Linked DNA regions of Oryctolagus cuniculus. The protein of the gene in region 1 binds, or shares a complex with, the protein of each later gene. Links are inferred from orthologs where the notes say so. Each region holds a gene or a part of one and is shown in the gene's direction. Other genes may lie near its edges.

Region 1 (4,523 bases):
GCATCCCATAGGGGTGCCAGTTCGTGTCCCGCCTGCTGCACCTCGGATCCAGCTCCCTGCCAATGCACCTGGGAAAGCAGCGGAAGATGGCCCAAGGGCTTGGACCCCGGAGGAAGCTCCCGGCTTCTGAGCCAGGCCATTGCAGCCACTTGGGGGACTGAACCAGCCGATGGAAGACCTCTCTCTGTGTGTTGTGCGTCTCCTCCGTATCTCTTTCAATTTTTTTTTTTTTTTTAATGGTGAGGTCAGGATGTGAATTAACTTCCTAACACTTCCAGAGTGAGGCTGAGTGGCAGGACAGGGGCTCCCACCCAGGCCTCTGGGGCTGCCCGGGCTGGGTGTTGGAGGGAGCAGTGGCCAGAGAAAGGTCCGCTCCTCCTCTGTCCAGCCAGCCCTGCCCACGCAATTCAAGACCCTCTTCTTGCCTTTGTCCCTGTGTGTTTCAGCGTTCTTGTCCATAAAACTGGGATGACAGCCTCTCTCCCAGACCTGCCCACCCCCGGCTGTGCTCCCCCCCCCCCCATTCCCTCCTCTCCTCTCCAGGCGCCCCCTGCATCCCCACCCATCTCCGGACCCAGCCCCAATTCCAAGGAAGGGCTGGGTTAGGGCCGGCTGGGTGTGGGTGGATTTGGGGGCAGCCAGGCCCCTCCCCCGTGGCTTGGCAGTTGCCTGGGGGTCAGAGGTCAGCCCCTCCTCCCTGGACACAGCTGCTGGGGTTGGGACCTCGCCCACCGGCCCCACCTAAGCTTCTGGGACCTGGCTTTAGCGTGGATGGAGAGGGTCAGCTTCCCAAGCCATTGTGCCGAAGAGAGAAGGCGGCCTGGGAGGGGCGGGGCGCAGCTTTGTTTACACACTGTTCCCAGTCCCAGAGGAGCCCAAATCCAGCCTCAGCGCAGTCCCAAACGCCCCCTCCCGCGGAAGGGCTCCCTCACGGTGGTCTTGGGTCGATGCCACTCAGGGGAGTCCCGTGACACGGGGCCTTCTGCGTGGGGTCCTGCGGGGTGTGCAGGAGTTCCCCGCAGGCTGTGGAAGGCATTCCTGACTGGCCACACAAGCATGGCGGGGGAGGAGGCCCTCTGGCACCCTGGGGTGCCCCGAGAGGCCGGTGAAACCCGGCAATCGGTTGGCCCACAGGCGGAGAGGGGAAACAGCCTGAGGAGCCTAGGGAACTTTCCCATCCGGGACAGGGCCGCCCCTGTTTACGTGAATGTGCACGTCGTTCTCTCTGGAGAAGACTCCTCCAAGCCCGGGACACGCGCTGGCCCCTTCCAAAGCGCGTCCCCAGCCGCCCACGCCGGAGCCCCGGAATGGCGGACTACAAGTCCCGACGGGCCCCGCGCCGCGGCGCATGCTCAGCGGGCGCCCCTCCGCAAGTCCGGCCCAGCCCGGGGCCCCAGTCCTCCCCCATTGTCTGGCGGGCAGGGGCGGGGCGGACGGTTCAGCGGGGGCGGCCATTGGCCGGGCGGCGCGTCCGTCGCGCCGAGGGCCCACCCCCCGCAAGCCCCGCCCCGCGGGCCCGCGCCCGGGCCGCCTGGCGCCCCGCCCGCGCCTCAGGACCGGCGGGGCCGCGCGGCGCATCCTGCGGGGCGGCGGCGGCGGCGCCGGCAGCCGGGCGCAAGATGATGAAGTTTCGGTTCCGGCGTCAGGGCGCCGACCCGCAGCGCGAGAAGCTCAAGCAGGAACTCTTCGCCTTCCACAAGGTGCGGCGGCGGCGGCGGCGGCGGCGGCCCGCGCTGAGGCGGCGAGGGGCGGGCCGGGGGGCCGGGGTCGGAGCCACGTCGGGCCCGGCGGGGGAGGGGGCGCGCGGCTGGCGGGCGCGGCCGGCGCCCCCTCGGCGGGCCCCTGGCCTCGCGTCCTGCCGCTGCTCCGCGCTCGGACGCTTGGCTGGGGCTGGGTCCCGCCGACTTTGCGCGCCCGCCTCTCGGGCTCCCTGCGGGCCTGGCCGGCCCGGCTCTGCGCGTCTCCATGGGGGTCTCGGGGGTCTCGGCCCCTTCCGCGCCGCCCTGCACCGTCTCCCTGGCCTCGGTCGGTGCGTGCGTGCTGGGGGGCGGGGGGCGTCTCCGCCTCGGTCCGTGTGTCTCCGGCTGTTTGCCCGCCTCCCGTCCCCCTGCGGGGCTCTCTGCTTTTGTGGGCTCTCCTCGGGACCCCCTCCGTGCCCCTGCCCGGAGACCCCGAGTTCTTGTTTTGCTTTCACACCCAAGCCTGCGGGAGGGGTGAGGGGTGGAGGCAGATCTTGGCGGTGGGGCTGGGAAGTCCGTCTGGTGATGAGTCCCTACGCACACACCCCCTTCCCACTCCCCCGCTTCGCTCTGTCCTGCGGGAGTCCCGGGAGTCCAGGGGCCATCGCCTGGCTGTGCAGGTAGCTGCACTTGGAGCCGGGGTACCTCAATTTGCCTAGCTGTGAAATGGGGCAAGGGAGCCGGAGCCCACAGCAGGACGGAGCATTGCCCCCCCCCCCCCCCCCCGCCGTTTCATTGCGAGGGAAATTGAGGCACCATGCCTGGCTGCGCCTCGGGGCACGTCTCCTGGACTCACAGTCTGGGACAGGGGCAGGCAGGGCAGGGCAAGGCAGGATTTTCTGAGGGGCTGCTGTGGTCCTGAGCTGCCCCCAGCTGGGACAGGCAGGGCTCTGACTGTGGGAGGGGGGACTTAGAGGGCCCAGGAGGGAGGCTGGGGCTCAGGGCTCCTGCCTGGGTGGTGGGCACCTGTTCCGTGCCGCAGGGCTGTGAGGGTGAGCCCCGTAGGGAGAGACCCGCGATGCGAGGCTGGAGCGGGTACTTCCGCAGTGGGGCCTGAGTCAGCTGGGGGTGAGGTTCAGCCTCCCCTGGGTGGCGATGAGTGGCAGGCGCGTGGTCTCGGGGAAGTGGCCTGGCCGTGGAAGGGACTGGCCAGTGCTCCCAGAGAAGGGGCCCCTGGCCTGAGTTTGGGGCCGGGGTGAGCACGGACTTCAGGCTCTGGGTTCAGATGTGTGGAACGTGCGTGCGCTCCTCGTCTTTAATACCGAGCCCCTACTCACTTGGGGCTCCCAGGTGCTGGGCACACAGCAGTGACCAAAAGGGACAGTGACTTCGTAGAGCTCTCGGGGGACTGATGTGCTAGTGGGAGTCGGGGGAGAGAAGCCACAAAGTCTGAGCAGCTTGGACGGCAGACAGTGCTGGGTGGGAATTGAGGTAGGGCCAGGTGTGGGGGGTGTGGACAGGGGTGGGGGGCTGGGCGGTGCACAGGGATCTGAGGCCTCCTGAGATGTGGGGAGTGCGGGGCAGTGGGCCTTGCAGTCAGGTGGGGGAAGCGAGGGACTTGGCCTTGACTCCGCTGACCTGGGAGCCCAAGGGGGTCCTGAGCAGGGGAGGGGCTTCTGCTGAGTAGTAGTTCCAGTGGGTTGGCGTGTAGGGTGTGAGGGCAGCAGGTGCCGTGTGCATGACCTCACCCTGTGTCTCCCTCCTCCTCTGTCAGGTGGGGAGCCCAGTGTATGTTTGTGTGGGGGCGCTGTGTGTGAGATGCCCGCCTGCTGGACACTTGACCAGGTCGGGTCTGCCCAGGGCGGTGCTGGTGGGAAGGGGAAGCTCCCCCCCCCACACTGTGGCTCTCCAGCCCCATGGGTGGCTCTGTCCTCAGATGGCCGTGCCCAGATGGGAAACTGAGGCTGGCATGGTGCTGTGAACTGGCTCAGGCCTGTGGCCAGGCCAGCTGCCCGGTAGGCTCTGGCCCTACCTGGACAGGCCGAGGCTGGGGAGGCAGGCCGCAGAATGACCCCCCTGGGCATGGGGCTTCTTGCAAGTGTGTAGCTTCCTTAGCCTGGTGGTCTGGAGGCACTGGTGGCCCACACACCCTGCATGGTGCACTGTGGGCCCAGGTACACCGGCAGGGCCCTCTGGGAGGACGTATGGAAGAAGGCCTGGCAGGCAGGGGGAGGGGTCGCACTGCACCGGCCCTGGACACCACCCTCAGTGCCTTTAGCGGCTAGACAGGAAGCTACCTCTCTCTGCATCTGTCTTCCTGTCTCTGGAGGGAATCCAGGTGTTAGCCCTTGACCTCCGACCTCCTAGTCTTTGACCTCTGACCTCCTCGCGAGGCGTGTTTGGGGAGCTCTGTGCCTCTGGGACCGGGGTGCAAAGCCCCCCATAGGGCAGGTGGGGTCCTTGTGCACCCCGAAAGCCTCGCGCTGTACAGTCGCGGGGTGGGGGGGTGGGGCACTGAGGGAACCGGGGCTTGAGGTGGGTGGGCCTCAGGGCCGTGCACGCAGCAAAGTCATGTAGCATGGTGCTCCCAACCCCCCCCCTCCACCGACTGGAAGGCCTTGGGGCACGAGGAGCAGGTGAGCCTGGCTCTGGGCCCCCGTGTCGATGGCAGAGCCCGGCGGCCACCTGGGGCCTGAGCGTGCGTCCCCTCTCTCGCAGACTGTGGAGCATGGCTTCCCCAACCAGCCCAGCGCCCTGGCCTTCGACCCCGAACTCCGCATCATGGCCATCGGCACCCGGTCCGGGGCTGTCAAGATGTATCCTCCGCGGCCTGGAGGTGGGCCG
Region 2 (4,357 bases), on another chromosome or scaffold:
CCTTTCAAATAAATAAATAAATCTTTTTAAAAAATATTAAGAAACTGAAACCAGAAGCATATAAAAAGAATTGTATATCATCAAGTCGGATTTATCCAAAGAATGCAAAGTTGGCTTAAATCCTAAAATCAATTATAATAATATATAATATCAATAATATAACAAAGTATGTATTGTATTATCCATAGAAAACTACATGATTATCTCAATTAACATAGAAAAAGCACTTAACAAAACCCAGTAGTCTTTCATAATAAAAAATTAACAAGCTAGGAATAGGATGGGATGTCTTCAACCTGATAAAGGATATCCACAAAAAACCTGGAGCAATGATCACACTTAATAGTAAAAGACTGAAAGTTATCAACCTAAAGTTGGGAATAAGAAAAGGATGTCTACACTCTCCTATTTATCTTAGTACTGGATATTCTAACTGATGTAATTAGGTAAGAGAAAAATAAATAAAATGCACCCAAAATTTGAAAGGAAGATATAAATCTATACGTATTTTTAAAAATACATACTTTTAAATGATAGAATATCCTAAGGAATCCATGTAATAAGCATGTTCTGCAAGCTTGTAGAAGATCAATATGCAAAAACCAATTATATTTCTATATATTAACAATGAATAATCCTAAAATAAAATTAATTTAAAAATTCCATTTACAGTAGCATTAAGAAGAATAAAATACATAGGAATATTTACCAAAATAAGTGCAGAATGTATATTCTGAAAGCTACACAGCACAGCATTGAAATAAATTAAAGAAAACTAAATGAATCTATCATATCTATCATATCAATGTAATGTAAATATAAATGGATTAATAACTACTGTATTATCAAAGTTTAATGCAAAAATAAAAATAATAGGCGCCAGCATTGTGGTGTAGCAGTTAAAGCCACCGCCTGTATGCTGGCATCCCATATGGGCACCGGTGATCCAGCTCTCTGCTGTGGCCTGGGAAAGCAGTAGAAGTTGGCCCAAGTCCTTGGGCCCCTGCACCCACCTGGGAGACCTGGAAGAAGCTTCTGGCTCCTGGCTTCAGATTGGCGCGGCTCCAAGCTGTCGCAGCCAATTGGGAAGTGAACCAGCAGATGGAAGACCTCTCTCCCTCCCTCTCTCTTTGCATTTCAAATAAATAAATAAATCTTAAAAAAAAAAAAAAAAGGAGGCCGGTGCCATGGCTCACTTGGCTAATCCTCCCCCTGCAGCGCTGGCACCCCGGGTTCTAGTCCCGGTTGCTCCTCTTCCAGTCCAGCTCTCTGCTGTGGCCTGGGAAGGCAGTGGAGGATGGGCTTGGGTCCCTGCACCCACATGGGAGACCGGGAGGAAGCACCTGGCTCCTGGCTTCAGATCGGCGCAGCGCCGACTGTGGCACCAACAGAGGGAAGACTTTTCTCTCTGTCTCTCACTGTCTGTAACTCTTTCTCTCTCTCTCACTAAATCTGCCTGTCAAAAAAAAAAGTCTTTTTTTTCTTTTTCATGCTTTATCTTTCATTTCTTTATAAATTTTCACTTCTTATAGGCCATAAATTTTTTCTCGAGTATTATAAAATCTTTCAAGTCTGTCACAGCATACTCAATTTTCCATGAATCCAATCCATCTCACTTTAGATGTAATTTACATTCAATTGGTAACTGTTCTACATTTACCATATTGATGCAGGTCCCCAGTGCCCAAAAACTTGATACCAAATTTATAAACGAGAATGTTTATTAAGAACCTGTAATCCAAGTTTGTAGCAGTTAGAGGATATCATACCAATGTAAATGTTCCATATAACTGATGAATCAATCCCCCAAGCCTATTTTATTATCGTAAACAAAGCTATTTCTTTGATTATTCCAACTCTTTTGGCGAGCAATGGGTATTCAGTTCCCGCTATGAGCATGTGACAGAGCCAAGACACTAGAAAAGTCAGACTAGTTTACAAGGGTGGGTTCTTTCGAGTCCTTGATTTGCCACGGTCAACCGAACAAATGCTAATGGATGAATGGATTGATTGATTGGAGAAATATTCATTATGCACCTGTCCTACGTAATGGCAGTAAGCAGAGGCATATGAAGCAGAGCTGCAAAGGAAGAAAGATGTGTCTTCCGTCATACCTTTTAGGTGAGTTTCGTCCTTTATTACATTAGTAACATATTATTAAATTTTACGCATGAAAGAGGCTATGCTGAACACTTAACCAAATTCTTGTTCTCAAAAATGGCACTCAATAATTGAGATGATTTATGCAACTGGAAGTAAGGTTTCATCAGAGGGGAGAGTCTGGATGATGATGAAGCCCATCCCTTTCCAGTGTCCTCAGATGCCCAAGCTGTACACAGGATTTCCACGCCAACGGCTCCCAGGGAGCGCCCAGGAGACACGCGCTCAGCGAAAAGGCGCGGCATTCCACACGTAAGAGCCGCAAGTCCCAGAATCCCACTGGGACTCCAAATCCCAGAAACCCGCACGGCGAAGCTATCCGGGGTGCCAAGTCGGCTGACCGCAGACGCGACCAAGTTGGGAAACTGGGGTGAAATGCCGTAGCTTTCGGACCCTACCGTCTCCCATGTAGGAAAGGGGATCATGCCGAACCATAGGTGTAAAGCCTTTGTCACCGCTTCTGCAAGAGGCTCCCTCCTGGCGGGTCTGATGTGGCAGTCGGAGTCTCCCATTCTTTCCTGTCCCTCTCTCTGCCCCCGAAAGGATGGTTCAGCCTGGCTTTGAGGCTCCTTGAGCTGGACCGATGGTTGCGCCCGCCCAAGCCCGGAATGTGGGCCTTGGAAGCGAGCTAGGTGGGAGGGACCGAGGCGGGGAGGCGTGCTGGGCCCGGGCGGCGGTAGCGGCCGCGGGCAGTGGGAGGAGCCGCGCGGTTCCGGCTGCCCGGCGAGGCGACCTGTGTGTCGGCGCCGCGGGCGAGGCGGGCAGGTAGGCGAGCGGACGGCCGCAGCCCTAGCGCGGCGGAGTCCTCCACGGCGCCCAGCGTGCCCCCCGCAGCCTCGGCTTCGGGCGTGGAGGCGGGGGAGTGAGGCGATGCCGACCCAGAGGGACAGCAGCACCATGTCCCACACGGTCGCAGGCGGCGGCAGCGGGGACCATTCTCACCAGGTCCGAGTGAAAGCTTACTACCGTGGGTGAGTGTCCCGGAGCGGGGTGGGGGTGGGGAGTGGGAGGCGAGCGAAAGGCCAGCTGGACTTGGCCTGGAGGAGGGAAGGGTGGGAGGCTGGAGGTGTTGTAGGCGCGTTGGGCTGGGCGGGAGGCTCCGCGGACTCGGCGTGGGGGTGCCTGAGCCGGGGGAGGAGCAAGGGGGCGCGGGATTCGAGCTCCCCAGGTGTGGAGCACCCCCAGCTGCGGGGCGTTGGACTGCCGGGAGAACCCAAGACCAGGGTAGGGAGGAGCCCTGGGATAGGTAGGGAGGTACACCTGGTGGAGACGAGAGATTTGCAAGGGCTTGACGTCACGAAGTCTGGGTGAGTTTGGGGTCGAGAGCTGATGATGCCTCGACTGACTCAGTTTGCTGTGGACGTAGAAGTGACAGCACTGCCTCAGGTGATCGGCCTTTTCGATGATCAGCAGGCCCGGAGTCTCTGGTTCTTTAAGTTAGGTTTGTCTTCTTCGCTGTAGAAAAGTTCACGAAGTGGATCTGCACTCTGGTCAGACCGCCAGTGCGTTAGACGCCAGAGTAATGCTTAAGAGTAAAGTTGATGAGTTTTCAGGGATGGTCACTAGGTACTTAGGTCTCGCCCACAATGAGTTGCATACGTGGTCATTAAAAATTTGTGAACCTCTCTTTGTCAGTGGGTGAGGTATTGTAAGTAAGAAGAGGAAGAGGCCGGTCTTAAATTCTGTGGTCTTTCCTTACATTCTTACCTAAGTAATAACTTCTGTGGGTACCAGAAATAATCCAGCCCTAAAATCATTGTGGTAAATTCACATTCCATCATCGGTGACCTAAAATGTCCCCCTTGGAATTCGGTAGTGGTTTGAATGTCTTCGAGATAATTATGTTTAGGAGCATTAAAAAGGTGACATGTTTTTGTGAGCGTAAAAGTTTGAGATGTAGGAGTTAACAGAAAAGCTAAGTGCCTTGGCCTGCTTACTGCTTGTCCAGGCAGAAGTAAATTGCTTTAAAAATCTCAAGCACTGCAAGGTTGGAAGTGCAGTGCATGGTTTTTCATTCTTGAGAGGATCAGTGGAGACAGCAAACTTTCAAATTGCCTCTCTTGTTTTGATTTCCAGGAAAGTATAAGCCCATAATTTTCAGATGGATTCTGTGGAAGGAGTTACTAGTTTGCTGTCACAAAGCTTCTGCTTTTGTTTATTAGCTTGACCGCATTCACGAGTAGTTTTTAGGAGTTGT

What was found.
Region 2: the proteins of LLGL1 (region 1) and PRKCI are in contact, whole or in part, in a cryo-EM structure (PDB 8R3Y), measured with the Homo sapiens proteins. The link is inferred for Oryctolagus cuniculus from reciprocal best matches to the Homo sapiens genes LLGL1 and PRKCI. Residues at the interface, in NP_004131.4 of Homo sapiens: Ala315, Asp319, Glu367, His391, Ser392, Ala394, Thr396, Glu453, Cys483, Glu484, His485, Phe506, Asp507, Pro508, Tyr509, Ser510, Asp511, Pro513, Gln518, Lys519, Lys569, Ala600, Val601, Thr602, Leu644, Gly648, Pro649, Leu650, Ser651, Arg652; in NP_002731.4 of Homo sapiens: Asp339, Met341, Gln345, Arg348, Leu381, Asp382, Met399, Thr412, Phe413, Cys414, Pro417, Leu425, Glu445, Gly449, Arg450, Ser451, Gly457, Ser458, Ser459, Asp460, Asn461, Pro462, Asp463, Asn465, Thr466, Glu467, Asp468, Tyr469, Leu470, Phe471.

Annotation. Positions count from the first base shown.
Region 1 is NC_091448.1:62,289,972-62,294,494, reverse strand, and holds the start of LLGL1 (lethal(2) giant larvae protein homolog 1), read left to right. Parts: upstream 1-1,526; 5' UTR 1,527-1,619; coding exon 1,620-1,700; intron 1,701-4,397; coding exon 4,398-4,495; intron 4,496-4,523. UniProt on the Homo sapiens protein: Cortical cytoskeleton protein found in a complex involved in maintaining cell polarity and epithelial integrity. Involved in the regulation of mitotic spindle orientation, proliferation, differentiation and tissue organization of neuroepithelial cells.
Region 2 is NC_091435.1:110,069,502-110,073,858, reverse strand, and holds the start of PRKCI (protein kinase C iota type), read left to right. Parts: upstream 1-1,479; 5' UTR 1,480-3,030; coding exon 3,031-3,131; intron 3,132-4,357.